Linked DNA regions of Tamandua tetradactyla. The protein of the gene in region 4 purifies or fractionates together with the protein of the main gene of each other region. This does not show direct contact. Links are inferred from orthologs where the notes say so. Each region holds a gene or a part of one and is shown on either strand. Other genes may lie near its edges.

Region 1 (7,420 bases), on a different chromosome or scaffold from region 4:
TATAGGGCCCATCTCCTGGGGTTCTTAGGAGCATTCAAGGCCAGCATGCCACAGGCCTTGGCAAGGACTGGCTGTTGTTGCTGAGGGATGCGAGAATTCCGACAAGGGACTGGCTGGCATAGGCCAGGAAAACCCTGGCAGCAGATGCATGGTGTGAGACCCAGGAGTCCTGGCCACTGGGAGGCTGTGGGGCTGGCTGGGGCTCGTTGCTGTGGCAGAGGCGCCTTGTCAGTGCTGGGTCTGGGCCTGCCGTTGGCCCAGGCACCAGGGCAGTGGCCGACATCTCTAGGAGGATGAATGGGGCTCAGTGTGGCAGCTCTGCCGAGCTCAGACCCCTCTTTGTACTGCCTTGAGTGGCCGTTGGGAGCACGGCTGGGGACCTGCTGGCGGGTGGTTGTCCCACAGGCTCTTCTCAGCCTGTGCTGGAGGCCAGCCCGGCCCAGCCCACACTCTGCAGCTTTCCCGCCTGCAGGCTTTTGCTTAGGCTGGAAGCCCCACCCGAATGCTGCTCTTGTTGCCACTGGTTCAATCTTTTGCCTCCTTCCAGTACCTCTAAGGCCATCTTTAGCTACAGTGCCCCCAAGAACCTGCTCTGGTTCCTGTCCCTCACTCCTGCCACCTCTTCCCCAGTCTATGACCCAATAGCCTGTAGCTTGGCCAGGGACAATTAGGGATTGGAGGCCTTAAATGTTATAATCAAAGGTACTGGACTGAGGCAAACCTAAGTTCAGTCCCCACCTTGGTGACCTTGGGCAAGTTATGTCACCGTTCTGAGCCACTTTTTCCCATCATTAAAATGGAGCAAATATGATGTTTCTCGTATGACCGTGAAATAAAACATTTATACCAAGATCATCATCCTTATTACATCCACGTGTGTCTTTATTTGCATGTTCCAAACAGACCTTAAGCTCCCTGAGAGAGGAATGGGTCTTACCCATACTTATTGGCCCCATGCCTGCTAAACTGTAGGTGCTCAATAGATGCTTTTCCCTGGGTTGACCCCATTGACTGGTAATGGGGGCAATGTAGGATGATGGTTAATCACTCTAGGCTTTGAGAGAAAAGACATCTGGCTTTGGATTCCAGCTCAATTGCTTCCTAGCTGTGTGTCCTTGGGCAGGTCATTTCACATCTCTGAGCCTGTTTCTTCTTATATAACCTGGCCTTGATTATCATACCTCCTAAGAGGGGTGCTATAAAGTTTCAGGAGGGTGATGCCTGTCAATACAGGGCCAGGCAGAGTTAGTTCCCAGCCAGTAAGGGCAAAACTTCCATGGTTTGACAAGACCGTGGGCATCACACAGATGTTTTCTCTCCTCTATCCCCCTCCCCAGAGATCCTTTGTCTTTCTGGATGTGCCAGATGCAAAGAGCAACCTACCCAAAGAATCTGTCTTCTCCTTCCCCTCCACATGCCCATTACCCATCCCTGCTCAGGGGTGGGAAAAGGGTTCAGGCTAGGGTCAAACAGCTGAGCAGTGACTCTCTTCCTGCTTAATGTGTCAGTTTCCCTAACTATAAAATGGGTAGCAGGACCAGAGTTCCCAGGGCCTGATCAGACAGTCACTCAGCAGACATTTACTGACTACCAGTCACGTGCCCCACTTTGCCTGCTTAGTGAATACCTGGGATACAGGAAACACTTTCCTCAGACCAGCAAAATTGAAATCAAAGTCTAGAAATTGTTTCTTGCTAATTTCTTCTCACCTTCACTTGGGTTTTGGCAGCTCTGGTGATGTCTGGCCCCAAGCCCGGGCAGCCTTCTGAAGGGCTCCCAATGCCCTGCCTGCCTTCCTTCTCCAGGCAGGGCCCACAGCCTGAGGGAAGTGACTGGCAGATGTGAAAGTTCAGGTCACAGATGGTGGAGTAGAGGTGACAACACCACCGGAACCTCTGCTGAGGCTTCTGCCCACAGGATGTGACTTATGGGATTGCTCGTGTGAAAGAGACAGCAGGTCCCAGCCTGAGGGCCTGATGGTGGAGGCCACATAGACCCATGACAGACCTCATAGTATTGCTACTATGTCCTCACACACCTCCCATCCAGCATCCAGTCCACATCCCTAGTTCTGCCCCCAGCCCAGAAGGGCAGACCATGACATGGGCAAGAGCTTGGCTTTATGCCAACCTGGCTCAAATGCCAGCTAGGCCACTGGCCAGCTATTTGACCCTGGCCAGGTGACATCACCTCTGAGTCTCAGTGTCCTTATGTGTACACCAGGCTGGATAATAGTAGGTACCTCATAAGATTCAGGGAGAATTGAGATAATTCCCTTAAGTATAGGGCTTAGCACATTTATTTTTCCTCAATAAATGGTAATTACTATAACTATTATCTTCCTCTCTGCCCTCTTGCACCTGATTTGGCCAAGGGTCTCCCTGCTTCTAACAGTGTGCCCAAGAAGCTGACCCCAGCTCACTTCTTATCAAAAATTCTCACCAGCTCCACGTTACCCTCAGGAGAGGACACCCGGCTCCTCAGCCTGACTCTCAAGGCTCTCCCTGGCAGGGATCTGCGCAGAACAGGCCTCTTGGGACACCACGATCACCAAACCCGTTCCTGCCTTTTCTCATGAGAAGGCCTCAAGGCCAGGCAGTGAGGGGTAAAACCTATGAAGCCGCCCTGCAGGCCTCCTGTAGGCAGAAAGGTTACTTTTGGGGGAGAGAGGTCAGGGGAGCACAGCCCTGAAGCCAGGAAGCTTGGGGAATTAGTAGAGAAACCCATAAGGACACAGCCTGGGATTGTAAACTGGAAAGAGCTTTAAATGTCACAGTCAGGATTTTCTTGAGACAGTTGGAGGGCTTGAGGAAGGTGGGAAATATATACAGACTCTGCTTTAGAATAATCTGGCAGGTGCTGTGAGGGGGACAGATGAGGAGTCTGGGGTGGCCAGGACTCCCGATCCCTTATAGAGGGCCGGAGCCCAGAGGGCAGATTGAAGAGGTGCAAGGAGTTAGAAAAGACAGCTTTGCTGGGGGCTGGTCGTTGGGTAGATCTGGAGGAGGAATCCAGAGGCTCATGGAACCAGAGAGATATGAGGGAGGTGCTGAAGAAGGCATGGGTAGGATGGGAAAGGGGGAGAGGGCACAGGGCCCATGAGGGAGATGGTAAGTGAATAGCCGGCTTGGTGCCTGGCAGACTGTAAATACTGCGAGCTGCAAGAAACTTCTTCAGTTTCAGAAAGCCCAGGTTCGAGTCCCAGCTTTGTATGACCATTGGCAAATAATCTCTTCTCTTAGAGCCTAAATGGCCACTGAAAACCGGGTTTGTAATACTGACTAACTAGGGGTTGTTGTCAGGATTCGGCGGAGTCCCCAGCACTTCTCCAGCACACAGGTGTGCTCAGTAATGTTAGCTATCTTTGTGATTACTGTCCTTTGCCCAACTGGCTCTGACGCAGCAGGGCGGAGTGGTAGTTCCTTGGGGTCTCATTCTTGCCGCCCAGAGAACAGGGATCCAGGGCCGAAGGCCCGGCTGTTGCTCGCTCACCGCCTCCAGTGTCACCGCGCCCCCTAGCGGCCATCGGTTGCCATGTCAACGGCGGGTGGAGGAGGCCTGGGGAGGCCGCGGAGTGGGCTGGTCTCTCCTCCCAGGGCCGGAGGCCGCTCCTTTGACGCGTCTCGCCTTCGCCTCTAGGGGGGCACCCCGAGCTGTGGAGGAAAGGGTTCCCCGAAGCAGCTAGTAAGGGGCGGGGGTAAACTGAGTCAGGCGGAGGGGCGCCCCACAGCCAGGTGTCGGGCGCGGGGGGCCCACCTCCAAAGACGGGGGCGGGGCCGCGGGCGGTGACGCGCCGAGGGCGGCCGGCGGACAGCGGGAGGCGACAGCGGCAGCAGCGGCAGGTGCGGCCGCGGAAGGTGGGAGGGAGGAGGGAGGAGGCGGGAGGAGGGGGAGGGGAGGGCGAGGCCCGGGCACCTCCCCCTTTATAACGCGCCCCTTCCCGGGCTCTCCGGCCGCCTCCTCGTCGGCTCTTCCCGACTCGACCCCTCGCCCGGCTGTCCTGGGCCGGAGCCTGGCCAGGAAGCCCCCAGGCCGCGGCTCGGGGGCCGCTCCCCCGCCCGCCGCCCCGCGCAGCCTGGCGGAGGCGGCGCCGGCGGAGGAGGAGGAGCAGGGCACTGCGGCTGGCCCCGGATCGGGCGCCAGAGAGGCAGCAGCTTCGACAGCAGCGGCGGTCCGAGCCGATGCAGCGGGACGCACCGCCCCGAGCCCCAGCCTCGGCGCCCCGGCTCCCCGCACCCCCGATCGGAGCTGCCGCCGGCACTGGCGGCGGCGGAGGCGGGGGCAGTGGCGGCGGCGGAGGCGCCGCTGCAGCTCCGGCTCCCCCTCGTCTCCCGGGAACTACAAGTCCCAGGGGGCCTGGCGGCGGGCGGCGGGCGGAAGAGGCGGGGTCGGCGCCGCGAGGCCGGAAGTGGCCGTGGAGGCGGAAGTGGCGCGGCCGCGGAGGGGCCTGGAGCACGGCAGCGGGACCTGGGACGGGAGTGGCGGCGTCTACTGGAGGCGGTGGCGGTGCGCTGGAGGCGGCCATGGCAAAGCACTACGATTCGGTGGAGTGCCCGTTTTGTGATGAAGTGTCCAAATATGAGAAGCTCGCCAAGATCGGTCAAGGCACCTTTGGGTAAGACTCGGCCCGGGGAGACCGGGGGCTGCATGCTTCAGGGCCGACGCCGGGGGCCCGGGGTCGGGCCCGAAGTGGTTGGGAAGCCGCCGAGCCCCGGGCTTGTCCCCTTATCTCCCAAGGCCGCACTGCATCCCACCCGGACCTGACGGAGCCTTCTGGCGGGGAGGAGCCTGAGGCTTCTGGTGGGGTACGGGAAAGGGTTGCAGAGAGAAGCCCCTGGGGGAAGAGGGACTTCTCCCAGATAGATGCCTGAGTGAGGAGGAGGAATTGAGGGAAGGAAGCGGAGAAGATCGGAGAAGGACCATAGATACTAGGTAGTGGGGTGGCCAACTGCCCCGTATACTCCGCCCTGCCCGGGAGTATCTCTTATCCTGCCCCTCTTCCTCTAGTGGGGGAGGGGCGGACCCAGCGGAAGCGGCCTGATGAGCTCTCTTGGGTCCCCCTCTCGGCCTGCAGGGAAGTGTTTAAGGCCCGGCATCGCAAGACTGGCGATAAGGTGGCCCTGAAGAAGGTGCTGATGGAGAACGAGAAGGAGGGGGTGAGTACAGGTTGGGTGGGCAGGCCTACCAGCTCCACTGGACATGGGGACCCACTTTTCCTAGGAGTCTCATGTTGAAATTCAGTTGGCATCTAGTAATTTGGGAATTGCCACATTCCAGAGAACTTGGCCTTCAAACTAGGTATTTTAATTAGAATGTTTTGAAGCGTTTGACATTTTATTTGTTAACACGGTTGGGGTCGGGAAGGGGAGCTTTTAACACTTTTCTCTTTAGTGTGTAGTTTTGGTTAATGTAAAAAACATCCACGTGGCTTTGAAAAGTTGAATTCTACTCAAGAGAACATATTGAAGAGGATTAACGCCCTGTATCACTCCCTCTTAGTCTAGTTCCCCAGAGATTAATTTTGTAGCCATGGAATTTTTTAATAGTTATTTTTGTTGTTTTTGCTACCACAAAGCAAGTTAAACACAAGCATAGAGCTAAAGTTGGAAGGCAGAAAGGAATTAAGGAGCATTTAGTGACTTGGTAAAGTGTGCTAAATATCTGTTTCAGTTAATTGTCTGGAATCAGTGTACATACTACTGTTATACTTATTTTATCCATAGGGGGTCTGAGGCAGTTGATTTCAGAGCCCATGTTCTTACTTCTTTCCCAGCCTCTGTTCCTTAGAACAGATTCTAGAGGCAGTTCCTTGGTCTGCACCCCCTCACCCACTTTTGACCCCTTATTGTCCTCCCCTTCTCCCCACCAGTTTCCTATCACAGCTTTAAGGGAAATCAAGATCCTCCAGCTTCTAAAACATGAGAATGTCGTCAACTTGATTGAGATTTGTCGAACCAAAGGTAAGTTGTTTGGATCTTATTCCCTATTTTCAGATGGTAACAAATGAGGTTTATAGCATGAACTTTGTTTACATAGCTGGAACTGGACATACCAAATGGCCTCTGTTTAACCCAGACGTAGTAGTGATGACTGCTTTCTCTGGTCCTCTCTCATTGTAGCTGATGCTTTCCCAGGGCTTGCCACAGCACCCAGCCCAGAGGAGGCACTCAGAAAATAGTGAAGGAACAAGCAAACGGATGCTTGAGGGCATGGGTGGTCCATAAGTTGAAGAGGGGTAGGAGCTGACCATGGGAAAGTGGGTTGAATGTGGGATTTTTTATTCTTTTCTTCTCCCTGCCCCCCCCCCCCCTTCATTTTTGCTGTTCCAGCTTCCCCCTATAACCGTTGCAAAGGCAGTATATACTTGGTGTTTGACTTCTGTGAGCATGACCTTGCTGGGCTGTTGAGTAACGTCTTAGTCAAGTTCACACTGTCTGAGATCAAGAAGGTCATGCAGATGCTACTCAATGGTCTCTACTACATCCACAGAAACAAGGTGGGCACCAAAGTGGGGGAGGAGTTACTAAGACTTGGGTTGGCCTTTGTGCCCACTGCTGGATGGGTGTGGTCAAAGGACTCCAAGGAACCTGGCTGAGCCCTCACTCCATCCCTTCCCACAGATCCTGCACAGGGACATGAAGGCAGCTAATGTGCTCATCACCCGTGATGGAGTCCTGAAGCTAGCAGACTTTGGACTGGCTCGGGCCTTTAGTCTGGCCAAGAACAGCCAGCCCAACCGCTATACGAATCGTGTGGTGACACTCTGGTACCGGCCCCCAGAGCTATTGCTCGGTGAGGACCCCTACATGGCCCCAGCCCCACACTGCCAGGGCTTCCTGAGCCATTAGCCCCAAGGCATTGCATCTCAGGAAGCCCTTGGGCTCAAGGGGCCCTCCTGGTGCGCTCTTCTTCCCAGGAGAGCGAGACTACGGCCCCCCCATTGACCTCTGGGGTGCTGGGTGCATCATGGCGGAGATGTGGACCCGCAGCCCTATCATGCAGGGCAACACGGAGCAGCACCAGCTCGCCCTGATCAGCCAACTCTGTGGCTCCATCACCCCTGAGGTGTGTGCGCAAGTTGCCCGGGCCCCTGATCCCCACAGGATGCAGAGACCCAGAAGTCTCCCTGGCTGGGGAGGAGTGGGGGAACGGAATATCAGAAAGCTCCTCCCAGGAGAGTTGCCCAGCAGAGAAAGGGCCTCCTCTTTAGTGCCCCACAGCCTGTGTGCAAGTCTTGGTTCTCTCACCATGTAGTTCTGTGGCTTTGGGTAAGGCATTTGAACTGTCATCTCAGAGTTGATTTTCTCTTCTCTGGAACAGAAGTCACGCTTGTATCAGGGTTGATACGCACATTCAACGTTGGGTATAAAGGGCTTGGCACTTGGTGTGTGCTTAATACACTGTTGCCACTGATGCTTTT
Region 2 (7,882 bases), on a different chromosome or scaffold from region 4:
TATTTTATTTTGTTTTGCTTTGTTTCTGCCTATAACAGAAAAAAAAAAAATCTATAGATTTCTTCTCCCAAAAATACTTCCTGTAAACACAGATCATATTGAGAATTTTTTTGCTTTTCAATAACATATCTATTAGATTTCTTTTTAATGTTAAATTTATCAATGTTTATAATTAACTCTAAAAGCTCTATCTATATCAAAGAAGACAGAGGCATTATAACACAAAAGACAATTCAATGAGTATGACTGCTACATTATATGACTGCTACATTATATTGGTATTTCTTTTAGCCTCCAGTGTCTTGGAGTAACTAGAAGGAAAAATCTGAAATTGTGGAACTGTAACCCATATCAAACTTGGAAATCTCTTCCATAACTACTGGTTAAAATGTACTTTGAAATTTACTGCTTTTCTGTATATATATTTCACACCAAAGAAAGTTTAAAAGAAAATTTTAAAAGCTCTATCTATTCCAAAGTGTCTCAATTGAAATAAATTACTAAACCTATCATTCAGAAGAATTCTTGTCAAACTAAGGCTGGTATAAATTACTAATGTCACCACTATGATCACTACTTTTGCCCACTCACCCAGCACCCATGTTCCCCTTTCTCTATCCTAGCAATATATATGGTATCTGCCTCTCCACCCCGCCCCATACACACATTATCCAAGTACTTCAGAAGATGTCCTCACACACACATCCCAGAGTGAACCCTATTCCTACAAGAGTAATGCCATTCCCCTTGCTAATTCCTACTTAGGAACACAAGCCTAAGCCAGTCAGCACTTGGTATCCCTAGCTAAAGGGACTGGATAAGCCAGTGAGACTCACTCAAGAAATAATAGACTTTGTTGCTCTGAAAAGATATTCTTGGCTACTCTGAGGTGCATTTTCTCTTACTCATGACAAAAAACATCCTAACTATTTAACAACATAAAAATGCACTGGTTGAGGATTTTGAACATCAACTAACGTATTATGAACAAACATACCTTTATTCACAAACCTCTGATCTTATGACCAATATTGGTCTATCTATATTTGGTGAAGTTATTGACTTGATAGAGTATGTACTTCAAGAGGGAGAAGGAGAAGTAAAGGCTAAGGGACAGCAGAATAAAAGAATCCATGTCACAACCACATCACAGATCAAATTCAGAAAATGAAAAATCTCTTCTTGCCTTCCTACCTGCCATGCCAAAAGCCACTTAGCAAATAAGAAAATGAGACCTGATCAAATTCAGGTCTAAATTAGGGGAATGAAGAACACCCTAATCCAAACAGAACTCCGGGTTCCGGCATCTTTGTGGGACATTAATGAGAATTTCTTACAAGTACTAGTAAACTAAAGAGCAGTCAGTAATTGCTAAAATTAAGGAGATGGGGCCAAAATAATAACTTTGAGGCCTCAGAAACATTACTAGTCTAATAGAGACCCACTCTAATGAATGTTATTACTCTATTCTGGCATTTGCTTCTTACTTCCTTACATTGTTGGCCCTGCTGATTTTCACAAGCAGTTGTAGGCAGCTGCTTCCCTGTACACTTCACAGCAAATTTCTGGTTCTATAACTGAGAAAGGGCAAGAGAAGGAAGGGTTTTCCTCTTCCAACTCTAGATAAAATCAGAAAATGTTTATTTAGCTCCAGGAGAGTAAGACTGTTACTTAATTCACTGTACAGACATTCAACCACTTTTTTCTTTCAAGTCAAATATTTGCCAGGTGCTTAGTAAATATATGCAAGTCATAGTCTATCCAAAACCAATGCATAAATTTTTTTTCTCTTTCTCATAAATTCTTTTTATAAGTTTCATACTTATTTGATCTACATCTCTAATAACCAAAGTCACAATTTTGAAGAAAAAAAGCATTAATGCCCCATACATTTTGCAATTATATTTGTGCCAGAATTAGTGAACTGGAGAGCACGTTCGTTATTTCCATAATACTGTGTTGAAACAAAAGCGCTAAGAAACTACCACTTAAAAAAAGTTCAATGATGTACATTAAATTGTTTATTAAAATAGAAGTAACATTCTGTGAAAATAAATGGAAATGAACTATACAAACGAACCAATAACTACTGTCTGGAGGAAACATCTGCACCAACAAGCAGGTTCAGCACACAGAATGAGAAAATCCTGATAATTCAGAAACACTGATGCGCGGTGTCCGCACTCAGAACGTAAACCATACACTGCAAATATAGAACTTCATTAACTGCTCCAAAGGAAATCAAGGATCCTCCTCGACGAGATGGATGGTTTTTTGTTTTGTTTTTGTAATTCTGTAGGCTACCTCCCAAAAGCAACCTCACTCTTCGGGGAACACATTTCACAGTCGGCAATCTGCAGAAGCAGATAAGTCCACAGCCTGAAGAAGACGGAAACAGGGACAATGCCCAGGACTGCCGGGGAAGCGATGGGCTGGCCGTGATCCAGAGGAGCACAGCGCGGGACGAACAGGAGGCCACCTCCGTGGGGCTCCTGGCGAGGCACCCCGGCGCCGTCCCCACCCCTCACCCCCAGCACTGGGAGCGCGCCTCGCAACTCCCCGACTCCACACCTGGGAAAGTTCGCACCTCCGCAACCCGACCCCTGGCACCGACGAGCCCCCTCTGGCCGCGGCGCCATCGCCATGGAGCTCGGTCCCCACCCCACCCCGGCCTTGGGGGGCCGCGTCGCAGTCCCGCGGCAGTCTCGGGCCCCGCTCTGGCCGGAGCCTGGACAGGGGCTGTCCAGCGAGGGAGACGAGGAGCGCAGGGGGACCGGGAAAGAAGAGGAGGTGGGAACAGCGGAAGTCGGCGGGATCCCGAGCAGGGGCCAAAACTTGCCCCGGGGGTCCTCACCCTTCACTTTGCCGAAGGTGCCGACGCCTAGCGTGTCCCCCAGGATGTAGTGGCCGATCTTCACCCGTCCGTCGTGTTTCTGCTTCTCGGCTGCCGCCATCTTTCTCCAGGAACTGAGTCTGCGCATGGCGCTACGGGAGGGGGCGGAGGGGGCGGGCAGGGCCGTGCCGCGCCGGGGGTGGGCGGGGAGGCGCGAGGGGAGCCGCAGACCTGAACAAACCACCACCCGCTTGGTCCACGCAGTGGCTGTTGTGTACAGACGCGCCCCCTGGCGGGACGAACGGAGGTCGCTGGACGGGGTCACCGTCAGTACCCCTTACCTCGCCCAGCATCGTTATGGCCCCGGGCGCCTGCCCATCTGCTCGCGGGAGGGGGCTGCGCGCGAGAGAAAGGCGGTGGCCCCTCCGCTCCTTTCCCCCCGGGTGGAGTCTCTTCCTGCTGTGGTCACTCCAGGCTCCCGGGGGACTGCTCCCAGTGTGATTCCAAAAGCGGAGCTGTGCACCGGGAATCTCGCTTGAATGATGCAGATGCGTGGTTTATTACTACTGTAGCTTGGATTGAACACGACTTTGCCACTGTATTTCTAAACTTTATTTTTATCTTTTCCTCTGGGATGCGTTATGGAAGCCGTAGGGAGTTTTCACTTGCACCGTCTTGTGGTTTCTCCCCACTGCTCTTTTGTACTTTTATTTGCGGAAGTTGTTGTTGGGCAACTCAAGTAGACTTTGTCGAAGTAAGCTCTGCTGCTGGGAGCAGGTTGAGGATGTATGTAAGTAGTGGGGGAAGGGTTGTTACCCAGCCCTTTTGGAATATGAGAATTCACATTTTTAAATTATCAGCAAAATGTAAATTTCATTGGCCTGAAAACAAGGCTTACAGTTACATCGGCCAGATCAATCGACAAATGTTTGTTACACTTGCAATAAACGAGACCGTCTGTTGTCTATACGAATGAAATCATGCCATTTCATAGGGAAAAGAAGGAGAGTATGTCTATTTGTATCGAAATTTAAGTGAGTTTCTTACTCGATGCTACTCTAACGGAGCAAAATCAAGTATCTCATCAAAAAAACAGTTAAGTGCTCTCATATTTGCAGTGTCATAGCACCTAGGCCTGTTATCAGTAGGCAAAAAGTTGTGCTATTCATGAAAATAGTATTTAAATAAAAAGACAAAATATCATTTTTCTTTGCAACAAAAATCAGCTACCCAGCTCTCCTGGTTTACATATATTTTTCTATTTATGAAAGCAAAGGAATGTGCATTAAACACTGCTTTGTACAAAGCAGAATACTTGCAGAGGAAGCAATCATTCCTACCTTGAGCTTAGAAGTACACAAAATAGAGAACAGTTCCAAGTAGACTTGCTCAGATAACCAAGTCTCTGTTGTACTATGGACTGCACATATACTGAAGGCCCAAAAGTTCAGAAATTGTTGATTATTGAGATATTTGGGGAGTGGGCAGGGGTTACTGTTGTAACTTTCGTTCTCTAGCTTCTTTGGCTTACCCTGTTTGCCTTTTGAGTTTCTACAACTCAGGTATTTGGGATCTCTTCAAATTGCTCTCTGGATTCTGTTAACTATCAGTTTGTTTCTGCTCTGATGTTATTTCAGGTTGCAAATCTATTTAATAATATTCATTAAATGCCACTATTCAGTGAAAGGGGGAAACAAAACCTAGAATCATGGAAAATAGGATTGGGCAGGAACTTAAAGGTTATCTTCTCCACTCTCCTGTAATGCCTGGTTAAGCGGCTTTAGTTGCTGATTTGTTTGTTTGTTTTCTTATGTTGAGTTAAAAACCTGATTCCAATAAACATCTACCAGTTCCCAAGAAGGTAAATAATAAGCCTCCTTTCCTTATTCCTTTGCTTTTTCTATTTCCTTCATTCTTTCGTGTGTGGTAAAACAACCCACACATCTGCCTTACCTGAGCAGGATTCCCTGTACCCCCCAAAAATGTCCAACTATTTCCAGCCTTCCTCCTTTCCAACCTCCTATTGATCTGTTCCCAAATATTCATCCCCTCTTTTCTTGAAGTTTGATAACTGCCAGACACAGGAGAAAGAAACAAAATGAAAAGTCATGGTCTCTGCCCTGGAGGAGCTCATGGTCTAAGATAGCAGTTCTCCCTATTTTCCCCCCACCCAAGATAGATAATGTTCACTTGCCGGACATTCTTCTAGGGTGGAAGAATAGATAAGGTAGACTGTGGTTTATACCCGGTTTCCTGACCCATCAGTTGTAAATCTGCCCCTTTTCTCGACAAAGTATATTGGAATGTAACTGAGCAGGAGGAAAATTATGGAGGTAACCTTGAATCCATTGTACCTTAACTGAAGTGAGGGTGGGGATAAATTGTTTGCAAACTTCAGTATTTCAACTTTTATTAGTTCAAAGAAGACACATTGTGTCTTAGCATTGATAAAAACATACCCAGCTGATCCAATACCTTGGTGTAGAACTTCCTTTGAGGAAGAGCTGAGTAATTGGTTGTCATCTGCTTCCTCTCTAGCCCTCCAGAGCTTAAGGCTGGTATGTCTAGTCTTAGTCTTTTCTTCTTAAGGTCATCATAGCTTGCTAGACCCTACACTATCCAGGTGAACATTCCAGTGGACTAAAAGAAACAGAGTATGGACAAACTGAAAAAAGAATGACTTCAGTGGTAGAGTCATGGAAGTAGAGGTGTAGGCCTAATGGATGGGTCTGTCCTTATGCTTGGAGGTGGCAGGCCTTCTGCCCATGTGCTTGGAAGTGTTGAGTTTTACACCCCAGCACATGGGGAGAGTTCAGCTGTACCCCAATACTTAAAGCGAGTGCGGTCTACAACCCCAGTTTGGGGGCAGATATTTGATTGGGGAGAAACTAGGTCTCAGCACAGAGACCTAGTGCAGATGGCCACTGCACAATCACTTGGAAAGAGTGGGCTGCCATTTCAGTACACCCACATCTATCCACAGATAACCCTCAAAGCTTGAAATTCGCCATAATTCACCCTGATGGATTTTGGACTTGCCTGGGACCTCTGGCCTTTCCTTTCCTTCCAATATCTCCCTTCTAGAATTGGACTATTCCATGCCTCTGCTCTCATCGTGTTTTGGAAACAGATAACTTGTTTGCTAGATTTCACAGAGAGGAATTTTGCCCCAGGACAGTTCACATCCATGTCTAATTTTTTTTTTCTTTGTATGCTAGTGTGGCGGGGGTTACATGTCATTCTTTTTCCATGTGAGTATCCCTTTATTGCAGCACCATTTGTTGAATTTTTGTTTGTTTGTTTTTGTTTGGCTTTTCTGTTTGTTTGTTTTGCTTGTTTGGAAAGTATGTGGGCTGGGAATCGAACCCTGGTCTCCCGCATGGCAGGCAAGAATTCCACAGCTGAACTACCCTCTCACCCCCATCCATGTCTAATTTTGACGAGACTTTAAACTTAGAATTATTACTGAAATGGCTTAAGATTTTTGAGGTATCTTGATGCAATGAAGGTATTCTTCATGTGGGAAGAATATGTGTTTTGGGGGTCCAGAGGGTGGATGGGATAGACTGAGTTTTATACCCCAAAGAAAACATGTTCTTAATCTTAATCCACATCTCTGTAGGTATGAATCCATGGTAAATAGGTCTTGTTAAAGATGTTGCTTTTCTTTGAGTGTGTGGCCCAATTGAATGAGGGCAGGCCTTTGATCAGATTGCTGGAAGCCTTAATGAGAAACTGAAAGTCAGGAGAAACCTGGAAGATAAAGAAGAGGACATCATAATGTTATAGGGAAGCCAAGGAACCCTAAGGTTGCTGGCAGTCAGCCCCAGAACCTATACAATCCTTGGAGAAAAAGGAAGCTTTGCTCATATCTACATTGTGGACTTTTCCTAGCCTCAAAAATGTGAGGCAATAAATTCCCATTGTTTAAGCCAACTCATTGTGTGGTATTTGCCATTTTAAGCATGGCAAACTAAAACATAATCCTGAAAGATCATAATGAAGAGAGGGCTAAACCTTTAACTTTAGAGGTCTTCAAAGTCTTTAGCTTGAATATCTTATGAGTGAATATTAAGAGATGAAGTTTTCTACTCAAAGAAAAAGTTGGCGTGGAGATTGGGGAAATTGGAGAAGGCATCCCAAGTAGGGAGAAAAGCATATGCAATTTCCCAGAACTAAGGAGCTTAAGACTATTTGGAGAAATTCAAGTGGTTACAAAAGAAGGTGTAGATGGATTTCTTAGAGAAAATAGTATGTAAATCTTGAGTCTTGAAAGTCCTGTTATGCTCTTATCAGTTTGCACATTATTTTGTAAACAGTGGTGAACCATGGGAAGATGTAAAGCACATGCATTTTAGAAATACATTTTTTCACCCAGGAAATTTGTAGCTATAGGTGCCTCTGGGAAGTGACCAAGAGTCAGGGGCAAAAGACAGATGCACTTTTCCCAATATACCCTTTTGTAACTTTTTTATTTTGGAATGTATGCACATATTACACAGTCAAAAAATTAACTGTTAGGAAAAAATAACCAAAACTCTGACTTTAGTGTGGAGGATAGATGGGAGAAGAGCAAGACCAAAGTGGGGGTAAAACAGTAGACTCAGCATCATCTAGCTAAGAAATGATGAGGCAGGCACCACGCATGAAGAGGAGAAACAGACTCAAGGCCTATTTAGAAGGTGGAATTAGTAAAACACAGATTGGTATGGATAAAGAGGGGAAAGAAAGAATCTGAATTATCTCCCAGGTTCTTGCCTGGGAACCTGAATAGATGATGGTGGCATTGATGGAAACAAGGAATGTAGGAAGAGAATAGACAGGATTTGGGGAAGAGTGAGGAACAGACGTTCCAGAGAATAAAGAATTCTATTTGTAAAACTGAAGCATCTAAAGGACATTCGGGTAAAAATATCTAGTATGATACTAGTAATACAGATCTGTAACTCCAAAGAAAGGTTAGTCAAGAGAGAAAGATTGGGTGTCATCACTGAACAAGTAGCAAATGAAGTAGGCCTATGTGTTTGAATCAGAGCTCCCTAGCTTGTA
Region 3 (7,456 bases), on a different chromosome or scaffold from region 4:
ATAAATTTTATGAGCAAGGGATAAGATTTTGGAGAGACCAGAAGACCTGCAGTCTTCATCCTGCAGGTCAGCAGTGGACATATTAATTCAGTTGGGCCACCTGAGGCCCATCTGCACTAGAGCAGTAATTGAATAAATGGGCCCCTCATGGTAAGAAAGGATGAGTAAAGAGTGAGCAATTTAGGCATGGGACACTAGTAGCTCAAGGGATATAAAAATATGAAATTATAATTAGATCTCTTGTTCATAATATACTAACTAAAAGTATTACATTGTATGGTACACGTTTCTGAGTTTATTTCTGGACACTGCGGAGCCCTTTACAACTGACTAAAACCGTCCAGCTATCAATTCATGTTCCCATTAAAATTCCAACTGCTTATATTAGAAGAAAATAAATCCAAAGATGGTTTACTTTTATTTTAGATCTAAAGATGCACACTGGGACTAGCCTAGATGCAGAATACAGCAAGTCATTTATAAATCACACAGCGTAAAGTAAACAGTGGCAGCAAATTGAAAATTATGTTTTCTTTTTCTAAACATAACTGTGAAAATATTTTAACAAGTTGGCATCGGAGTTTGCAACTTTTATCTGATGTTTCTCTTCAGGATTATCTTGAAGCATTTTAAAATGTGATGTTTGGGAAAGTTCAGCTAGTCAGAAATGTGGTATTAGATTATACATTTGGAACACTTTACAGGAGGCATTCGTGACGTACATGGTTTCAGAACGCTGGCATATTTTCTACTGTATTTAATAGGAGAAGCTGCTATTCCAAGATATTTGCCCTTTAATGAAGTCTTTCTCCTACTCAGAAAAATTGTGTAGTGTGAGTTGGCATATTTGGTCCAGTTAATGTTTGATGATACGAGCACCCTCTAAGTACACGTTTCATTATCATTATCATTTCTGTTATTTTTACAAGGTTCCAGCTAATCTGGTGTTAAGGGGACTGTCTTCCCTTTCGGAATCTCCTTTCATCCCAACGTTCATAACTTTATTGCAACTTTATCGAAGGATTGGGGGTGACATGAGAGAGGAATCATCCCATGAACCCTTGCCCTTCTGCTCTCCACTCCACTCGGATGTTTATTATCCTGGGTTCAATGGAATCTTTCAGGTCACAGACTCAGCATGAAATTGAGTAAAATCGTACTCTCCATTCCTTCACGTTCCCACCCCCCCACTTTTTTTTTTTCCTAAGGGGGAATGCATTTCCTTTTTCTTCATACTGAGATATATTTCCTTTAACCCCAATTTAGTAATCCCTCATACTAAGTTTCTATTGTCTAGGAGTGTATGACTCTCCCAACGCCTCCCTCTCCAATATTTTGAGTTGAGTTCTTTGAGAAATGTTTTTTACTTTCATTTTTTCCGCCTCCACCCCCTTGGAAGGAGGTGCTATGATTAGAAATGCTTTCAAAGGGTAAACGAAATTCCTAGAGTATAAAAAGGCAGAGTTGTGGTGACTGTGTAAAGCTAAATGAAAAGAACCAGAGCTAAAATAAGTAAAATACTACAATTTCTTAGAGCAGATGCTAATGGACATTGGGCCAAGGATGGCAGAATTTATTATTAGAAGAAACTTTTATAGAGCTTGTTAATTAGCTATAGAAATATAACCTAGAAAGTAGATACTATTAGTTAATGACATTTCTTAATATAGGAAAAATTAAAGAGGTTTGTAAGAAATCAACTAAGGAAATAAATATAAACAGAAGATGTAAAGAGTTTGTTTTAGTATGGAAATTTAACATGAGCTTTGTTTGAAAATTTTATTAGTGGATGGCTAAATTGAAATACTAATCTCAATTTCTAGGAAAAATTGTCTTGGGGATATGTAAGACAAAGTATAGATTAGTGTAGTTGAAATTTATCTTCACTCTCCTTCTTTCTCTTTACCTCTTTTCCTTCGTTCAAAGACTGATCCTTCAACAAGTACTCAACTTTTATTCATTCCAGAAAACTTCCTCCAAAATTAGGTCTCCATTTTCTGACTCCCTAGACTAGGTGAGTTCCCCTCTTTTATTTGCATTTCTATGGAACCTTGTATTTTCCCTTCCCCACAACCATCTCAATAATGGAAGGTCTTTCTTTCTAACCTGTAAACAATATGAGGAAAGGGAAAATGCCTGATTTATTCAATGGGTGTAATATAGTGACTGGTACCCAATATATGTGTATAATTGCTAAATTAATTGACCTGAATATTTTTTCTCTGTTGGGAGAATTTGTGTTCTTCCTAATTTTTAAAAACAACTCAGTGCTGTTAACTGGATTTAAATGGAATAAAAATGAGGTTCATGAGTCCAAGGGATGACTTTAAAAATATATATATAGTGGGTGGGCCATGGTGGCTCAGCAGGCAAGAACGCTTACCTGGAATGCCAGAGGACGTGGGTTCAATTCCTGGTGCCTGCCCATGTATAAAATATATATATAGGAAGTCATTTTCAGGAATTTTAAGAATCATTAAGAGAAATATTTATTTTTAGTTATGGTAACTTCGTCCATTTTTCTTTAATGAAACCATGTGGATGAGTTAAGCACAACTTACCTTGCTCTTATCAGTTTCTATTATTTCAATAAGCTTCAGTTGTTCTCTCTCTCTCTCTCTCTCTCTCTCTCTCTCTCTCTCTCCCTCCTCATCCCAAAGTTTAAAGTTTTGAAAGTTAAGGCCGACCCTGGATAGACCTTAGTTGAAAATTTATCAGAAGTTTCATGTGAAAATCCACACTTATAAAACAATCTGGGGGAACGGCAATTCAATTAAAAAGGTTTGGTTTGCTAAATTCTTTTAAATAGTAACCTGCCCTAGTTCACCTTAAATATACATACATATATATATATTTAAATCCTGGGAACACACATTAATAGTTTCTAAAAAAGCCTGCAGATAAGGATTTCATCTAAATAACTGCTGACAATTGGAGCTATTTATGCCAGGTAGGAAATGTGAGGACACTTAAAGGGAGGAATCTTGAGGGCACTAAGGGCAGAAATGCCAGGCTTGCATTTTAGACCATGGCAAAATTTTAAGTGTTGAAAGGTTTTTTCATTCTTTGAATCTTTATTTTCACTAGACCCCTTTAGGATCTGCGTCCAATTGATGTCACATGTACCTGAGCCTGTCTGTCCATCTGTGACTGATAATGAGACACGTTTCTCTCTAAATGCTTGGCAGCTTTGTCAGGATATTCCGCGCATTTGTATTTCACCAAACTGGGTCACACACCACCTTGGAATGTATAGTGGTGCCACTATCTGGAAAACCACCTGCTGACTAGCGGCCAACTTCAAGATGTGACAGAACGGAAAGACTAATATTTTCTGGACACACTGAAATATTTGAGGACACGGTTGAAAACATGTAGAACTTCTGAACCTTCCAAAGTAGGGGCGCATCACAATATTGTTTTAACTGACTAGAAAATGCAGCTACTGCTACATTGTAGAGAAAATATATTTTTTCTCAATGCTGAAATAAAAAAACCCAGGGAAAATATAATAGAGAAAGCACGAAACAGCCCATATTACATCTCACCGTATCTCTCCTCCAACTTCTCTTCTCCTTTTCGCTGCTTTCCGTGCTATTAAGCTACTTCAAATTTCAAGACCAAAGGGAAAACACTCAGATACAGGAGAGGGAAAAGATGGGCTCACGGTCGCGCGATTCCCCCCAAGCACATTAACAACTGTCCAAATTAGGAAAGGGGGTTTGTAAGAGTGAGAACAGCGCGAGGTTGTCGCCGTAGATGGCCAGTTATCCTGTGGCGCGAGGGTCTGTATTGGTATCTACTCATACAATGCCTGGAGGTGAGGACCAGGGACCAAGCTTAGCGTCCCTCAAAACCCTCACTTTCAATTAGCAGGGAAAAGAGAAGTCATATGACGAGCGCCCGATAAAGTACAGTTTATGCACCGCCAAGACAAGCGTTGCACCCGTCCGGAGCTCAACACAAGAGGGCACGATACGCACAGTCCACAGGCAGCGGCCGGCGGCCCGGAGCGGCGGGACCTAAGGCTCGCTGGGGCTTGTAGTGCGGCAGGCTACCGTCGCGCACGCCCGCCAGAGCCGAGGAACTACTACTCCCGAGATGGACCGCGCGCCTCTGGCCTCCCGCCCGCTCGGGGACCTCGGGGAACACTGCCCCCGCCCCGCGCTCGCGTCACTTTTGTTTACCCTGAAGCCCCGCCCCCCACCCCCCTCAGGCTCTCCCCACTCGGCGGGGGAATGCCGTAATGCCCGCAATGCATATTCAGGAGGCCGTCGCGGAGCGCCCTCCCCGTCTGTCTCGCGCCTTCCCTCTCCCCGCGCGTGATTAATATTCAATGAGCCTCGGCGCGCGCTGATTCGCCCGGGTGGGGCGGGGGCGGGGCCGGGCTCGAGAGCCCGCGGCCCCCGCGGGGAGGGCACGCGTGGGGGGGCGGGGCGGTGGCGGCGAGGAGGGCGAGCGGGCGCGCGGGCGCGCGGGATGGAACACCGAGACACCGACGGAATGCTCCGAATTGCCACATAATTCCCTGGAACGGCCGCTCCGAACGCCATTGGCTTCTCCCCTCTCCCCGCGCCGCCGCCGCCGCCCACCTTCGCCTCACCTCCTCCCTCCCCGCCCGCTGCCTCCGGAGCTGGGGGGAAACGCAGCGCCCCACTGCAATGGAGCCCGCCGCCGCGGCCACGGCGCAGCGACTCCCCGAACCCGGCAGGGAGGACAGAGCTCCGGCGGCGGCGGCAACGGCAGCAGCGGCGGCGGCAGCGGCGGCGGCGGCGGCGGCGGCAGCGGCGGCGGCGGCGGCAGCTCTGGCGGCGGCGGCTGGGGGCGGCCGGAGCCCGGAGCCCATGCTGACCCCGGCGGCGCGGAGCGGCGGGAACGGCGGCAGCGGGGCGCGGACAGAGGCCCCCGCTGAGGCGCCGCCGGGGTCGCTGCCCGGCAGAGCTGGAGGCACGAGTCGCAGGAGGAGACGCGGGGCACCCCAGAACCCCGCCGGCGGGGCTGCCCCTGTGCCCGGAGCCGGCGGCGGCGCCAACTCCCTGCTGCTGAGGAGAGGGCGGCTGAAGAGGAATCTGTCCTCGGCCGCTGCCGCCGCGCACTCCCCCGGCGCCGCCGGCCTCGCCGCCTCCTGCTCGGCCTCGGCATCGCTGTGCACCCGGAGCCTGGACAGGAAGACGCTGCTCCTGAAGCACCGGCAGATGATGCAGCTGCAGCCGTCGGACCGGGACTGGGTGAGGCAGCAGCTCCAGCGCGGCTGCGTGCACGTCTTCGAGCGCCACATGGCTTCCACCTACCTGCGCCCGGTGCTCTGCACGCTGGACACCACGGCCGGGGAGGTGGCCGCCCGCCTGCTCCAGCTGGGCCACAAGGGTGGAGGCGGCTTGGTCAAGGTGCTGGGCAGGGGGCCCAGCACTGCCGCCACCCCTGGCCCGGACGCTGGGCCCCTGCCGCTGCGGACCGAGCCGCGGGACTGGGCGCCGCCGCCTGGGAGCAGCTGGCTGGGTGCCGTCGGGGGCCGGCCGCGCTCGCCTCCCGCGGACCTGCCGCTGCCCGGAGGCCCGGGCGGGTGGATGGGCTGCACTGTCCGCGCTGGCCCGGCGCCCTCCGACTCCAGCCCCGGCGACCGGCTCGCGGGGGGCCCTGCTCCCCCTCCCAGCGCCCCCCGGCTTCCGGACGGCGCGGCCGCGGGCCCGGCCTCCGACACCGAGAGCTTCAGCTTGAGTCCCAGCGCCGAGAGCGTGTCGGACCGGCTGGACCCCTACGGCAGCGGCGGTGGCTCCTCGTCGTCGTCGTCGGAGCTCGAGGCAGACCCAACCCCAGCCCCGACGGGGTCTTCGGACCAGTCCCACCTCTCCAGCCACTCCCCAGAGCTGTGCGGCGACCCCCGCGTCCTGCAGCTGTCTCCCGCGGCCTCACCGCCTGCGTCGCGGCCCAAAGCTCCGAAGGGCGTCGACTGTCCGGGTGGTGCAGCCCGCGATGGGCCGCGGGAGGAAAGGGCGGCGGCGGCCGCATCCATCCGCAGTACCTCGTCGACCCCCGGGGAGAACGCGGCGGCCGCGGAGAAGGAGGCTCCACCACCCACCCTGTACGTGCAGCTCCATGGAGAGACCACCCGGCGCCTGGAGGCGGACGAGAAGCCATTGCAGATCCAAAATGACTACCTCTTCCAGCTGGGGTTTGGGGAGCTGTGGAGGGTACAGGAGGAAGGCATGGACTCGGAGATTGGCTGCCTTATCCGCTTCTATGCAGGTAAGGCGCTCACCTGCACTTTGACGTGTGGGGTGTGCACATTTCATGTACCAAGAAATGATTGAAAATTGACATATACTTGCCCAACCCAAGAATAAATGCAGGTCCTCGTGATGCTTTGTTACTCCTTCAAAACTTGCGCGTGCCATCTGCGCAATGCCAAGTTGAGCAGTTTTTTAACCCGTGAATTTTAGTCAGTCTTGAGGGTCAGAGGTTGGAAAGTAATGTGGAGGGGGTGGCAGAATCTCCAGGAAGTACAGGAAGCAGGCAATAGTACTTTTAATAAGTGCTTCCTTCAGGCCTCTGGTCATAGGCATACTGGGTCTGAGGTAGTTTGGCATTACAGATAAACATCAAGTGCACATAATATGGACAGAGAAAATGTTCAACAAAATGCTCTAAAGCACCTCTGCACGCTTTTGTTCACAGTTTACTATTCTAGCTCTAAGTATATATACCAGCAGCAGCAGCTCCGTCCTTGTCACCTGATGCACCTGTTCAGCTCGCTGTTGTGCTTATTTGTTCAGAGTCACAAATACGATCCTTTTTGGTGATACTTGTCAATTTTTGGTTTTCTTTCCGTTTCCTCTGTAAGGTTGATTCTTGCATCAAAATAATGTTACCTGTTTTCTTCCCTAATTTATTTCTTCCGCCATTTATAAAGAGAAGTGGACATTGCGCTATGACTTGCAACACAGATCACAATAAGAAATTAAATGGTTCATGATCTCTTCAGATATGATCTAAAATCTTCCCCATTCTTTTTGCAATCCCAGATCAAATTCTTGACCAAGGATGACTAATGAAATGTTTCTCTTTTTGCTAAATACTTGGATGATGCTACATTAGGGGAGTTCTAGGTCCTGATTGTTGTATTTGAACTTTATATGTTGTTTGCATCCTATCCCTCCTCTGGATTGAAGAATTATGCTCTTAGTGAAAAGGGTTTTTATTTAAAATAGAGTTAAAATCATGGCAAAATTAAAACAGGAGAGAGTTAAATCTTCCCTGCTTTATTATTCTAGAGTGTCGGTGATGGTGGGAAAATAATCATATTTGTAACTATTACTATGTGGCCATATTTTCAAATGTAATGTTTTGTGGTCCACCTTGTGTCCTTGTGGCAGTTTAGTCAGTTTGAATGATATACCAGTAGCATTCCTGTTGGGAAGTTCATCTAAGTTTAATTGAGGTTTTCTGAAATTGTTCA
Region 4 (7,394 bases):
TCAAAAGGAGACATATAAGGATAACTGACTTAAAAACAAATGCTTATTGTGTAGATGTGAGAATGCAATTTACGTTAATTTTGAAACTGAAATGTGGTTGATAATTTTATGATATGGTCTACCACAACTTAAAGTGAACAAAAATCAGTAATTAAAAGACATAAAACCTGGATTTTAAAATGGGTTTTTAATTAAAAGGTCCTTTTATACTTAAATTATCTAAATTATGGTTTTGTTTAAATAAATCTATGAAATATAATTTTAATTTATATATGATACATTTAGGCATTCATCACATGATAAGGACCTCAACTTCTAATTACCCACAGTAGTATTTAAAGTAATATAGTCATATACACTTTAAAGAACAATTATATAACCACTCAAAACAATTAAGAACCTCAGTCTCATTAAGATTCCTTACAATTATCTATATATATATTTTTAAAAAAATACTACATTAGGAGGAGTAATTGTTCAGTCAATCTACCCTCGCTATGCACCAAAAAACCAACACAGCTTTTAATAGCAATAGCTTCTATGGCCATGGAAAGAATGTTCTTTCTTCTCTGGACTAATTCATTCTAAGCTCAGACGTTTAGGAAACTAAAAAAAAAAACAAAAAGTACTCTCTTCTAATCCAGGAATAAATAGAAAATTGAAGATTTAATTCGTTGTCTAATGCAATATTTTAAGTTTTTATGTTGAACTGATTAAAATCATTTTTAAAAAAGAAATCCACCCCAAATTCCCATAACTAAAACAACTAAAGATTCAGAAACATCAAAAGTTGGAAGACAAAGATCTCACAACATTTAAGCCTGCTGTTGTAGAGAAACAAAACATTTCAAATATCTCCTTTATTTTTTGAAAATCTCAAATAGTCAAAAATTATCTGCTGGTTAAAGAGGTCACCTTTCATTCATGATGTTATTGGTCAGTTAGGTAAATAAGAACAATTCTCACATAATTACAAGTAAAGTAGCATAATTAATCTAAATCAAAATTAATAACTTTGCTCTTAAGAAGTTAAATTTAACATCTCTGAGATATAAATCATTCCCAGGACACATGTCAAAGAAGACACATTAGAAGAAAAAACCGACTAAACTAAATCAAGTGTTTCTCACAAATGATGAGGATTAATAACGCACATTAAAAAAATGTATTTCTATAGATGTCCTAAACTGATCAGGGCCATAATTGTAGACTAAGTAGAGGTTAGGTGGAAGAATGATAAAAAGAAAACAAGTGAAAGCATGACAGAATAAAAATTTCCCATCAAAGAATATTTTGAAATCTATCCTTGAGTTTTGATTCACACAGGAAGAAATTCAGTTACTAGAATTCTCTAAAGTAAAAATCCGAGATGGGGGGCAGGGGCTGCTCACAGAATTCCCATAGACTACTACAAACACTTAACCAACATACGCCTTCACTTTTTCCTTGTCCACAATCTAATAAAATGGGAAGACAATAAAAATAAATACTCCTATAAGAGCTGCCCTCACAGAGGCCAAGGAAGCGCCCATTCAATGTTAGGCCTTGTTCCGCTGGAAAACATACTCCTAAAAACTAAATCCAAATCCCCGAGCTCAAACGTCTTCATACAGAATTTACGAATGGCGGCCACCGGGAGGACACGCTGTCCCGAATCACCCTGAGGGATATCTAGAGTTCTTCATTCTCCGCTTACAGCTCCGACCTTAACTATGCTTTCGGCACATCTGCAGATTTTTAAAGAGATTAAAACGTCAATCTAAAAAAGGCAATCTACATTCTGACCCTCATGAGTCTTTTTTTTCAGTACTGGTTTTTAATCATATACTTTCGCGGGGACACCTATAAATGATCAATAAAGGAAGAAGGCGTTAGTCCCGGGTGTGAATAGGATCGGGAATCCTAAAACAACTTTTAATGCGCTTTCGTCTCATCCCAGACTACTACAAATCGCTCGTTGCCACAGCGCTGCGCTGGCACTTTCAACAAGTGGCGGTGGAGGAGGGATGCTGTCTCCAGTCCCTTCTCCCAGGGCGCAGCTGAAGAGGGGTGAGCGCCCATCCAAAGCCCCCGGGTGGGCTACCCCGGGGCCGCCGCGCCGGGAGAGCGGAAACCGAAAGCGAGAAGGGCAGCGGCCAGGACGCTCCGTTATCCTCACCCTCCACGGGGCCAACAAGGTGAGGAAGTCTCAACAGTGCCCGCCGCGCGTCCGTCCCAGAGCATTGCTCAACCCCGGGCTCGAATGTTCCCGCCGCCCCCGGCTGCGAAGGCGAAGTTTCTCTCCCGCCCGCCGCGGCGGCTACTTACGCTCCGCCCGGCTCTCGGAGGATCCCGCCGCCTCCTCCGAGCGGCTGCTGCGGCGCTCCGCAGTCAACCGCCCGCCCGGCTTCGGGCGAGTCGGGGCGGGGGTGGTCGCCCGCCGAAGTCGGGACCTGATACCCCGGGCGGGAAACAAAAGCCGGGTGAGGACAAGCAGGCGCAACCTGCCTCGCCTCCGCGAGGGGGAGCGCGGCGGGCGCCCAACCAGCGCGCCTCCCGGAGGGAACACCGGCCCCGCGGTCTGCGGGGAAGCAGGGGCTGCGGCCCGGGCGGGGCGGCGAGGGGCACGCGGAGCCGCCCAGGGACCCGCAATGGGGCTGGAGGAGCCCCGGGAGCGCTCACCTCCAAGCTTCCCCGACCCCGCTCCGCCCGACTAGCCGCTCCAGGGAAGGGGAGCCGCGCGAGGGGGGCGGGGAGGCGGCGGAACCGAGAAGCAGGGAATTCGGCTCCCGGGGCGCCGCGGCCGCCCGCCCCATCCCTGCAGCCATGGCGCCGGTACCTGTCGCCGCGGTTGCCTGTCGTCTCCGTCTCCCTCCGCCGTACCCGCGAGCAGAGCGCCCTCAGCCCGCCCAGCAGGCCGCCGGCACACCGAACGCCGCCACTAGAGACTGGCAGCGCTCGCCAGCCGGCCTGAAAACCCAGGGCAGCGCCCGACGCCGTCCCGCTCCCGCCGGCCGCAGGACCCGCCTCCCATAGGGCCCCGGGGCTGTCAGCCCGCCCCCAAAAGGCGCGCGGGCTGTAGCCCCGCGTGACGGGATTGGTGGCAGCGCGCTGTCCGCGCAGATAAGGCCACACCCCTTCATTTGCATCACCGCCTGAATGTAACCTCCGCCTCCCCCACCCCAGCCCACGTGTCTGGCTCTTGTCCTTTGTGGGGACCTGAGAGAAGGGAGGGAGGAAGCTTCCCGACACCTCCTCACGCTCTCCTTTACTCCAAAGAAACTGATACCTAAACAAGCTACTTGACTTCATATCTCTTTGACAGCTCCGTCGCCGTTGTCTGGCCACCGGTCGTGCCCTGAGGATGGAGAGGGGCAGACCAAGCTGTCCGTGTCTGGAGCCAGCCAGGTCTGCCCCAGGAAATGAACTAAGAAGGTGAAGATGCCTGGACTGGGGAAATCCCACCTTGAGAACCAATTGAGCACACAGTACCTCTCTCTGGACACCCAGTGACTGTGGACACCATACTTTCCCTTGACTTCCAACCTTCCAAACGTGAGATCGCAGACCATTAAGAAGGATTGAGACAGGAAGAGGCCTTAACAATGGCCGTTTTCTCCCCACAAAGCATAAATCTGCTGCACAAACTCAACTTCAACATCAGCCCACCCCCATCCAATTAGATGGTTACCTGACTGGCTCCCATTGAGATCTATCAGCTGCACCTGGGTCTTAGGAAATGCCCAACTCAACCGTCTCGTTTTTTGAGGAAAAAGAAACCCGAAGTGCCAAAACTAGTTACCTATGAGACCTAATAATTACTTCTGGAATCTAAAAGTCCCATAGTCAGATTAGAATCCACATCTCCTGGCCCCCACATCAGCCCTCTAGCCACCATATCATGATGGGCATCACGTATTTATGAAAGTCACCGCACTGGTTGAGATTGTAGTTGTTCCTGCCTTCAAGAGGTGGACCCTTCAAAAATGGCAATTCCAGCACCGACAGACAGGATCCTGTCTTAGTCACTTAGCTATCCTCAGTAGTTAGCAGCTTCCCATCTTACCAGCTACTAAGTACCAGCTTCTCCCAACTACCAGGAGACAATCAGGACAATTTGTTCATGCCTTAATTCAGCAAGACAATGTTTATTAAAACTGCTCTACATACTAACACCAACTTACTAGGCATCTTATGTGCATAATAACAGTAAGTATTAAGCACTGTGTATGTGCAGAGCAAACGGAAGTGAGAAGACATTAGCCCTGCCCTTGGGGGCTTCAGCCTAGGGCACAATGACATCCACATAACATGTCAGTGCTCTTCATGTCACAGGGGCTTTGTGAAGGACCCCAAAGTGGGAGGAGACAGGGTTCCCTGGGGGAAACAGGGAAGTCTTTACTGAGGACTGGAGCTGAGTCTTGAAAGGTGGAGTAGGTGTTTGCCAGACAGACGAGTGTGAGAGAGGAAGTAAAGGGACTTCCAAGCAAGACCTGGAAAAGCCTAGTAGTGGAGGGAACAGTGAGGAGCCATGTGGACCAATCTCCAGGGCTGTGTGGCTGAGTCACATGCCCTGGGACCAGGCTCTTCCAGGAGGAAGACAGAAAGGCCCGGGAGGCTGCCAGGCTGTGTTGTAACACACCGCAGCAAACAACAGCAGGCCCTGTAGATACAGCTGCAGCCTTTTTTTTTCTCTTTTTTTTCTCGGCCAGAGTCTGTGGGGAACAGTCAGTTCCACAGTTCTGATGGCAGCTTGGCTGGCCCCACCTACTCCCTCAGAAAACCACTCCCGTGGCTGTACTTACCCTCATCTTCGGCATTTGGAAGCACATGTGCTTGCATTTCCCTTAAAAATTGCTGCCCTTCAGTTTTAATTCAACTATGACATGGTCTATGGCTGCAGAAACCTGAATGAGGGATGGGTAGCCCTTTCCCAACACACGGAGCCGTTCTTTGCGGAGCTGTCACCAGGGCTGGCAAGCTTCATAGGTGTGTGACCTAGACAGTTGCCTGGGAATACACACTTAGCAGGGCTCTGTGCTTGGTTTAATGCTCTACCGTTGCCATCGCGAAACTCTTAATCATCTTTTCAACAAGAAGCCCCACATTTTCATTTTGCACTGGACCCTGCAAATTATGTAGCTGTTCCCAACAGTGCCCCTGTCACTGTTAGTGCCCCCAAGCATATGTATAGCCAGCCTGCTACTACTCAAACCACATCTCATTTTTAAAGCTCTAGGCATTCGCTAGGTTTGCTCACGTGCTATATGTCATTTGATTCTCACAAGGGCAATGTAGGGTAGGCCAGTATTACTAGTCCAATTTACTAGTTGAGAAAGTTAAAGTTTGGCCACCTTCTCCAGGTGGCACAGCCGCAAAGTGAGAGAGCTTGTATTTAAACTCAGCACACCCAACCCCTATTTCTTCTCCTGTACAGCTACATCCATGTTGGTTTCAGAATCTTCCCAAGGCAGCTTGGTATATGGAGGTGTACCTTTCTAAGAGCCAGCTCACCTTAAGGAATGGGCAGTTGTTATTTCATGGTTGCCTGCCAGCTTTGGAGCAGCTTTTCACCAGCTTTAAAAAAATTCTCAGCTGCTGCCTGTGCAAATATTGTTTCTGTCTCTTTTCTTCTATCCTTCTGGAGAAGGATATTACACCTTCCCATGACAGCCCTTTCTTTTGTATTTTCTGTCTTTTTTTCTTCCCTGCTTTGTTCTGTGAAGTGTCTTCACAATTTTTCAGCACATTTGCTCTCTCTTCAGCTTTTTAAAAACAAATCTACTCTTAAACCCATCCACTGAGCTCTTAAACTTGGTTATGCTGTTTTTTAGTTCTAGAATTTCAGTTTAATTTGTTTTCAAATCTGCTATGTCACTTCTCAGACCTTTTAGTTCCCTGCTACAATTTTCAAACTTGGCTTTTCTCTCCTTACACATAGTAAGTTAGTTGTTTTACATTCTGTGTCTGATAATACCAATCTGGACTCCTTACAGATCTGTTTCTGTTACCACTTTTTACTGCTGGCTCTTCCTACATGTCTCTTCATGTACCTGGTTATTTCTTTGAACATTGTATTTGAAAAATCATTTGAGGTAATGATGTTAAAATCTTCCTCTGGAAAGAATTTCCATTTGCTTCTGCCAGGCATCTGGGGTACTAGCAATCTAGGATCACCTTAACCCAATTTCAAGGCTTCTGATTTTCTAAGCCTCCCAGATCACTCAAACTGGGCTATAATTTGTGGGAAGGTTTGTTTTTTTAGAGTTCATCCTTACCCAGTGGTACAGCCCTTTGGAGACACAGTCTAAAATCTTGGGAGTTGTTTTAGTTATATATTGCTGCATGGCAAACTATCCCAAAATGTGAGGGCTTAAAACAGATGTCAACAGACTTCTCCTAAAGGGCCAGATATTTTAGACTTACAGACCATTTGATTTCTGTCACAACTACACAACTTCTGTCGTAATAGCATAAAGCAGCTATAAACAAAACATAAGCAAATGGCATGGCTGTGTTCTAATAAAGCTTTATTTCCTAAAACAGGCAGCCTAAATCTTCATCTTGATAAAGGACATCTATGAAAAATCTGCAGTCACATCACACTTGATGGAGAAAGACTGGATATTTTCTCCGTGAGATCAGGAACAAGACAAGGATTCCATTCTCATCACTTCTATTCAACGCTGTACTGGAAGTTCTAGCCAGGGCAATTAGGCAAGAAAAACAAATAAGAGGCATCCAGATCGGAGAGGGAGAACTAAAACTCTTTGCAGATGACATGATCTTGTATATAGGAAAATCCTAAGGAATCCATTAAAAAACTATTAGAGGTGGCGGCCTCCTGGGCTATGTAGCCAAGGCAGCACTTTCAGTGCCTTAGGGAAAGGACAGGATTCTAGAATGTCACTACGGAAGGGACATTGAGTGCTTTCTCATACGAATTCCAAACTGCGACCCACCCGGCTCTGCCTGTTGCTGGGTGTGGGAACGCAGATGCTCAACACCCTAAAGAGATGTTTTAAGATAAAGGAGGCTTTAACTGTCAGCAATGTACGGCGGTAATACAGAACCTAGATTCGCGCTCTGCAGGACGGTGGGAGATGAGTAAAACATGCTTGAGGATGTGGACAAATAACTGACATTAAAATTTTCAAAAGTGGTCACAGTGGCGTAGCAGGCAGAGTTCTTGCCATGCCGGAGACCCGGGTTCATTTCCCACCAGTTCCTGCCTATGCGAAAAAAAAATTTTTTTTTTCAAAAGAATAGGGAGGTTTGATTTCAACACTCTAGTAAAATTCTGAATACTTCCAAGACTCTTTGCTAACTAGAAATAGCAAGTAATGTTTTGAAGATACCTCTGTATGAAAAGACAAAATTGTTACATCAAACAGGATTGTCGCTTTAGAATACAT

The links.
Region 1: the proteins of FKBP5 (region 4) and CDK9 purify together in Homo sapiens (affinity purification with mass spectrometry; 10 studies listed by BioGRID and IntAct, counting the BioPlex papers as one, with this or other methods). This does not show direct contact. The link is inferred for Tamandua tetradactyla from reciprocal best matches to the Homo sapiens genes FKBP5 and CDK9.
Region 2: the proteins of FKBP5 (region 4) and PRKAA1 purify together in Homo sapiens (affinity purification with mass spectrometry; 3 studies listed by BioGRID and IntAct, with this or other methods). This does not show direct contact. The link is inferred for Tamandua tetradactyla from reciprocal best matches to the Homo sapiens genes FKBP5 and PRKAA1.
Region 3: the proteins of FKBP5 (region 4) and PHLPP1 purify together in Homo sapiens (affinity purification with mass spectrometry; 4 studies listed by BioGRID and IntAct, with this or other methods). This does not show direct contact. The link is inferred for Tamandua tetradactyla from reciprocal best matches to the Homo sapiens genes FKBP5 and PHLPP1.

Annotation. Positions count from the first base shown.
Region 1 is NC_135328.1:50,628,013-50,635,432, forward strand, and holds the start of CDK9 (cyclin-dependent kinase 9), read left to right. Parts: upstream 1-4,407; 5' UTR 4,408-4,523; coding exon 4,524-4,615; intron 4,616-5,074; coding exon 5,075-5,156; intron 5,157-5,869; coding exon 5,870-5,960; intron 5,961-6,329; coding exon 6,330-6,496; intron 6,497-6,620; coding exon 6,621-6,792; intron 6,793-6,916; coding exon 6,917-7,065; intron 7,066-7,420. UniProt on the Homo sapiens protein: Protein kinase involved in the regulation of transcription.
Region 2 is NC_135335.1:90,938,993-90,946,874, forward strand, and holds the start of PRKAA1 (5'-AMP-activated protein kinase catalytic subunit alpha-1), read right to left. Parts: upstream 3,014-7,882; 5' UTR 2,982-3,013; coding exon 2,855-2,981; intron 1-2,854. UniProt on the Homo sapiens protein: Catalytic subunit of AMP-activated protein kinase (AMPK), an energy sensor protein kinase that plays a key role in regulating cellular energy metabolism.
Region 3 is NC_135344.1:19,506,887-19,514,342, reverse strand, and holds the start of PHLPP1 (PH domain leucine-rich repeat-containing protein phosphatase 1), read left to right. Parts: upstream 1-4,442; 5' UTR 4,443-4,661; coding exon 4,662-6,246; intron 6,247-7,456. UniProt on the Homo sapiens protein: Protein phosphatase involved in regulation of Akt and PKC signaling.
Region 4 is NC_135331.1:92,296,921-92,304,314, forward strand, and holds the start of FKBP5 (peptidyl-prolyl cis-trans isomerase FKBP5), read right to left. Parts: upstream 3,009-7,394; 5' UTR 2,819-3,008; intron 2,392-2,818; exon of another isoform or gene 2,308-2,391; intron 1-2,307. UniProt on the Homo sapiens protein: Immunophilin protein with PPIase and co-chaperone activities. Component of unligated steroid receptors heterocomplexes through interaction with heat-shock protein 90 (HSP90).